Linked DNA regions of Danio rerio. The protein of the gene in region 1 purifies or fractionates together with the protein of each later gene. This does not show direct contact. Links are inferred from orthologs where the notes say so. Each region holds a gene or a part of one and is shown in the gene's direction. Other genes may lie near its edges.

Evidence for each region.
Region 2: the proteins of tsr1 (region 1) and ltv1 purify together in Homo sapiens (co-immunoprecipitation; 4 studies listed by BioGRID and IntAct, counting the BioPlex papers as one, with this or other methods). This does not show direct contact. The link is inferred for Danio rerio from reciprocal best matches to the Homo sapiens genes TSR1 and LTV1.

The regions. Positions count from the first base shown.
Region 1 is NC_133190.1:28,116,406-28,120,242, forward strand, and holds part of tsr1 (pre-rRNA-processing protein TSR1 homolog), read left to right. Parts: intron 1-389; coding exon 390-570; coding exon of another isoform or gene 571-589; intron 590-3,837. UniProt on the Homo sapiens protein: Required during maturation of the 40S ribosomal subunit in the nucleolus.
Region 2 is NC_133176.1:57,344,062-57,347,245, reverse strand, and holds the end of ltv1 (protein LTV1 homolog), read left to right. Parts: intron 1-1,555; coding exon 1,556-1,669; 3' UTR 1,670-2,432; downstream 2,433-3,184. UniProt on the Homo sapiens protein: Essential for ribosome biogenesis.

The DNA.
Region 1 (3,837 bases):
CATGCATACACTTGATATCATCAAGCTTGTTTGATTCATACATTGACAAATGTTCTTAATATAACCTATTAATCACTCCAGTAAACGTATATGAACACTTTATCCATCACAGTATTTGATTTTTATCTCAAGAAAGCTCAAAACAGAGAGAGATCTTCTTACAGCAATACTAATCTTGAGGTTTGCTTAAGTTTTTTATTTCAAGAAGCTGCGCAAGAAACTCTGCCAGTGACCTAAATGGAGCTAGAAAAATGAGTAATTAATAGTGAATAACACTCAAACCCTGTTTACACTTGGATGCATTTGCAGAAAATGGATGGTAATACTAGGTGGAAACAGGGCCTGATAATGTACAAGCTGTAATAATGTGCTTTTTAATTTCTATTCAGAGGCCAGTAAGAAGAGGAGAGTGATGAAGGTACCGAAGGGGACATCCGACTATCAGGCCACATGGATTATTGATGAAAATGCTGAGGAGGAAGGGGATGGTGGTGATGATGGGGATGATGATGATGACAGCTGTGATGATGATGATGATGATGATGATGAGATGATGGACGATGAAATGGATGGAGATAATGAATCTCAGGTAAGATTTTATTACTTTATTATTATTTCTATTATTCTATTATTTTGACACAGGTAGTCATGGGTTCTTGATAAAGCATTTCCTTCCCTTTTCCCTCAACAGAAAGACATTTTTAATAAAGCATATTGTAAACATCGTCTTGTTGGTTTTCTGTGGAGAAGAGCAATAATTGCACTATATTAGTCCATTGACCTTATTTATTGCGTACAACCGGGCACAGCCATTTGAATTTCTTTGGCCCAAGACTTCAGGTCTCATTCACTTCCATTCCTTTTTAATGTTGAAAACAACTTGTTACCCTGCTTGATGTTGCAAACTGATATCATCTTATTATATTATTCTGCTTTGTCTGTATAGTCATGGACACTTGTTTATAGGGCAAGTAGTTTGACTGTTTTCTGCTGTTTATTGTTCCTAGTCATTTCTCCTAAAGGAAACTAAATCGAAATGAGCGCACTTACACATTTTAGAATAAGGTCAATTAGTATTTATTAATTTACTTATTCTGTTAGTGATGTGTTTGTTCGGAAAAGGAAATTTAATGAATTATATTTCAACAACAAACAAGAGTAGAATCTGTTTCTTTTGATTTAGATGGTAGTGTGAAACTTGCTTTACATATGATTTATGTTTTCCCAAAACATTTGTAATTGAGTAGTTGATTATTCTATGTAAAAATATTTAGCAGTTAATTATTATAGGTTGCAATCTAGGGTTTATTGTAGTCTTTAATATTAAAAGTGCTTTAACAATTAAGTGCTTTGGAATATGCATTTTTTTATTCCATGTTTGACAATCTCAAAACACGAAGAGCAGGACGTAGTGTAGCTCCTCTCCTTTAAAAAAAAAAGCCAATTGGGTTTTGTTTTATCATTGCGCTGCAAGTGAGAATGTTTGAGGTCAAGCACATCAAATGAAAATCAAATGAGAAGAGTCTTTAAGGGGGCGGATACTAGATACTAGAAACACTAGAGAGCATTTGATTGGTCAAGATTTGATGGGAAACTGAAGTATGAGGTGACGTGAATAAAACCGTTTTTTCGTTTGGGCAGAAGTGACAAACTACAAGCTTTACATGTTTATATTAGTTTTATATCTTCTAAACGCAAATTTTTTCACTGTTTTGAAGCACTAAATAAAACTAACAATACTGATACTAACATTTAAATAAACTGCATTTAAATTTCACGTGACCTTTAATAAAAACACACTAAAACGCAATAAAAAAAGCATATTTAGTTCGGGTTTTTAGCATCTTTGCCTAAAAATGGTGGCCTTAATGTTTGAAAGAAATTTAGACACTAAATATTTCTTGCAATTTTATTTCGATATGAATAAAATTTAGATTGTGTTATTTTAAATACATTTTTTTGTTTTTACATTTTGCTGTACAGCAGTACGGAGACCTGGAAGGGACGTGATGGTGGGGAAAAAAATGTGTGAAAGAAAAAAAAACTGGCTGAGAGTTATAGGAAAATATATTTAAAAAATTTTTTCGTTCCCTCGCAAAGATGTTTTGCGTTATCTTGCTGTTCGTCGATCATCGCCCTTCATATGCAACCTCTGAATCAGCGAATGCATATACAAGCGCTGACTGATGGATGCGCTCCATATGATAAACTGATTTTGTACACACCATTTAAAGAGGCGCTAAAGTGCAGAACTCTTTGGGATTCGATTGTGTATAATATGTAAACTTGTCTGTCCTGCATGTTTTATTTTAAACACAACTACAGGGTTCATACGGTCATGGAAAACCTGGGAATATCTTGGAATTTTGACATGGCATTTTCCAGGCCTGGTAAAGTTTTGGAAAATCAGAAAAACTCACAAAGTTTTGGAAAAGTTATGGAAAACTGATATCTGTACTTGAATATCGATTAGTTGTCTTGACTGCTTTTCTGTCCTTGACCAATTACATGCTTTCACATTAGTGCAGTGTAGGCATTATTAAAATTCATTTTACATAGATATAAATTGGGCATCATGGTGGCGCAGTGGGTATCGCTGCAAAGCAAGAAGGACGCTGGTTCGAGTTTTAGCTGGGTCGGTTGGCATTTTGTGTGGAGTTTGCATGTTCTTCCCGTGTTCGTGTGGGTTTCCTTAAGGTGCTTCGTTTTCCCTCACAGTCCAAAGACACGCTGTAGGGAAATTTTATAAGCTAAAATTGTCTGTAGTGTATGTGTGTGATTGAGTGTGTATGGGTGTTTCCCAGTGATGGGTTGCAGCTGGAAGGGCTATTGGCGGTTTATTTTGCTGTGGTGGCCCCAGATTAATAAAGGGACTAAGCCGAAAAGAAAATGAATGAATAATTATAAATTGTAACTAAATAGAGTGTTGGCTGTTTTACCATATGCTGTAATAAATTTTAACATGTATTGTTTTTTACCACGCATATGTAGACATTGTATGAAACATTAGGTCAGGAACTTAAAAGTATTAAAAATCATGTAAAAGTCATGGAATTTAAGTAGTTAAAATGTTTATGAACCCTGCAACTAATTCGAATCGAATGCTTTTAGATCTGTGCTTTCATAAAGAGACACCTCTGTTATCAAAAACAAAACGAGAGATGCATTTGCTGCTCTTCACTTGTTTGATAACAGAGATGTCACTTTAAATTGCATGTACAGAAGCTGATTTGGGATCAGTTTATCACACGGAGTGCCTCTGTTAGTGCTTATGCAACCTCTGAATCAGCGAATACATGTGTATATAAAAGGCGATGATCGACAAATAGCTTTGATGAATAGAAAGTGAATTAAGACATTCGTCCATTCATTTTCTTTTCGGCTTAGTCCATTTATTAGTCAGGGGTTGCCACAGCAGAATGAACCGCCAACTTATTCAGCACATGTTTTACCCAGTGGATACCCTTCCAGCCGCAATCCAACACTGAGAAACACACATACACTCACATTCACACACATATTCTAGGGCCAATTTAGCTTATTCAATTCACCTATGCCACATGTCCTCGGACTGTGAGGTACACCGGAGCACTTGCTTGCTTCCTCCTGTGAGGTGATCGTGCTACCCACTGCACCCCGTGATGCAGAATGAAGACATTTTTATATTAATTTCAACATGGTTTCAAGATTAAAAACATGGGGAAATACTTAATGATAGGATGAGAAAAGGATAGAATGTTAAATTATGAGATAATCCCAGCGAAACGGAAGTGTATGAACAGGAATTGTTTATGGAACAGCATCTTTTCAAGGGGACGCAAAAACGTAAAAATATTT
Region 2 (3,184 bases), on another chromosome or scaffold:
TAGTGTGGTTTTAACGTGTGTTTCTGCAAGAATTTGGATGTTTAACACATTTTAGCATGGATTGACTGTTAGCATAATTTATGTAACTTACTTTTAGGATGAGTCGACTTGTTAGCACGCAATGAATTCATTATGTGCTAGCATGTTTTAGCACACTGAGTATGAATGAAAATGGTATTTAGGTTATAAATTTTAAAAAAATTTAAGTTATTGCTAGCATGTTTCAGTAGGCGTTATGTTATATGTTAGCATGTTCTAGCTAGTTGCCTTTTTTCTCAAGGATTTGCATGTTTAACATATTGTAGTATAGTATAGCCTTTTTTTAATAGTTAGCATGATTTTATCATGTTTCTAGCATTTGTAGCTTGTTTTTAGAGTGAATCGACTTGCTAGTGTATTTCCAACAGCACATGTAATGTAACAACGTGCTAGCAAGTTTTAGCATATCGCTAGTATGATTGAGAATGTTATAAATGTTAACATGTTTTAACTCATTACTAGCATGTTTCAGTAGGCGTTATCTTTAGCATATTCTTGGTTAGTTGCCTTTTTTATCAAGAATTGGCATGTTTTAGCACGAAGTGGCTTGTTGCTGTCTTTTTGCTAACATTTTTTAATAAAGTTAGCCAGACTTGACATAATCGGTCATGTTTCTAGCATATGTAGCTTGCTTTCAGAATAATTCGACTTGTTGGAATGTTCCCAGTAGCACATGTAATGAATTAACAATATGCTAGCTTGTTTTAGCACATCGCTGGTATGATGATTGAATATGTTATAAATTTTAACATGTTTTAACCTGTCGCTAGCATGTTTCAGTTGGCGTTATGTTAGCAGGTTCTTGGCTAGTTGCCAGTTTTTTTTCTCAGGAATTTGTTTGTTCTTATGTTTCCAGAAGCACATGTAATTAATGAACAATATTCTAGCATGTTTTAGCACATTGCTAGTATGATTGAGAACGTTATAAATGTTAACATGTTTTAACTTGTTGCTAGCATGTTTCAGTAGGTGTTTTGTTTACACATTATAGGCTAGTTGCCAGCTTTTTCTCAGGAATTAGTTTGTTAGTATGCTTCCAAAAGCACATGTAATGAATTAACAATACGCTAGCATGTTTTAGCACATTGCTAGTATGATTGAGAACTTTATAAATGTTAACATGTTTTAACCTAAATTTGAACACGTTTTAAGTTATTGCTAGCATGTTTCAGTTGGCATTATGTTAGCACATTATAGGCTAGTTGCAATTTTTTTCTCAGGAATTAGTTTGTTAGTATGTTTTCAGAAGCACGTGTAATGAATTAACAAAATGCTAGCATGTTTTAGCGTATCGCTAGTATGATTGAGAACTTTATAAATGTTAACATGTTTTAACTTATGCTAGCATGTTTCAGTTGGCATTATGTTAGCAGGTTCTAGACTTGGGTCCAGGCTTTCTTTGTGATTTACCAAAGTTTATCTCTGAAGTGAGAAATATGTCGGTTATAATGGTCTTCATTGAGCTGAAAGTCACTAGCACACTAGCATTCATGTTTGCTTTACTTCCTTGCTTCAGGAGAGGAGGACCGAGAAGAAAGCAAACAAACTGGCGTTCAAACAGGAGAAGCAGATGCAGGAGAAACAGATGGTTCATTTAAGAGCAAACGTTCAGGGCATGAAGCTTTCATAGAGACTACAGGACCTTAGTGAAGACACTTCTGTTCACAGGCCACAAGGGTAACGATGACATCACTCACTGTACCTGTCCAGGACTACTATGTTTCTTGAGGCAGTTCTAAAAAACATTCTCTAACAGTGTTGCCATGGAAACATCGGAATGAATGGAACCTATAGAGATGGTTCCGTTTATTTGGTTCTACTTCAGTTTGACTGTTTAATGGTAAACAGTTAAACGTTCGCTATTAGTGTTTGTATAATATGTAATTATTATTCACATCCTACAGTTTATTTCAACCAATTATTAAAAAAAAGAATCAAGTATAATTTTTTACAAAGGAATCCCACTTTTATTTAAACACTCTTCACAAAAAACCTCTCCAGCATTGGCAGATTTATTCATCAGCTTAGGTCAGACTGTATGGCTTTAGTTTATTAACATCATGACACGCATCTGTTCTTCAAAGTTCATGGATTTATACAATAAAACATCTTTGACCTGAGATAACTTCCTGTTATTGTCATGGAGTGCACATGTGATGCTACATAGTGATCTGCTTGCATCAAGCTGGAAGTACAGTAATTATACGTTTCTGAGACTAAAGTAAACCTGAACATGTTTCATACAAGCTTGAAGATCATTCAAAAGCAACAGATAAAGGTTGTTTAATACAGGAGTTTTCCTTTTTTATTTATGCCGTAGACCACAGAATATGATTATCTGATCATGAGGAACTCCTGTCCTAAAATATAAAATACATTTGTTGTTGTAAAACTTCCCATTTCTGCTGTGAAAAAAATGAATTACAAATGGATATAAAGTATTCTTCTGACTATTTCGATTTCATTAGGTTATATTGTTATTGACAGTAGTGTATACTTGTATTTATTTGCATTTAAAATTCAATCAGTTAACATTTTAATCTGTATAGTTGAATTTAAGTTTAATTATATGCCACTTTTCACAGTAAAAATTGGTTAATAATAATAATAATAATAAATTGGGTTCAAAAGCAGCTTTACAAAAGGTGTGCATGAAAATTTTTTTATAGTTTATTTTATACAGTACATTTGTAATTGTGACCTGGATATGTTTTAAACTAGCTTGAAGATAAATGAAAAAACTGTCAACAACCCCTGCCCTAAAATATAAAAGGTTTTTATTTTCGTTGTTGAAAAAAAGTTCCAGTTTATATTGTGGAAATTATTGATATAAAATATTTAGTAAAGAATATTTAGATTGAATCAGGTTATATTATTATTGACAGTAGTGTAAACCTGTATTTGCCCTTTTATTTTAATTCTCAATTTAATCTAAAGTATTTAGTTTAATTCAAGTTTATTTACAGTTGAAGTCAGAGTTATTAGCACCCCTTTGATTTTTTTTATTTTATTTGATTTTTTTTATTATTTCCCAAATGATGTTTAACAGATTCAGGAAATTTTCACAGTATGTCTGATAATATTTCTTCTTCTGGAGAAAGTCTTATTTTTTATTTTGGATAGAATATAAGCAGTTTTTAATAAA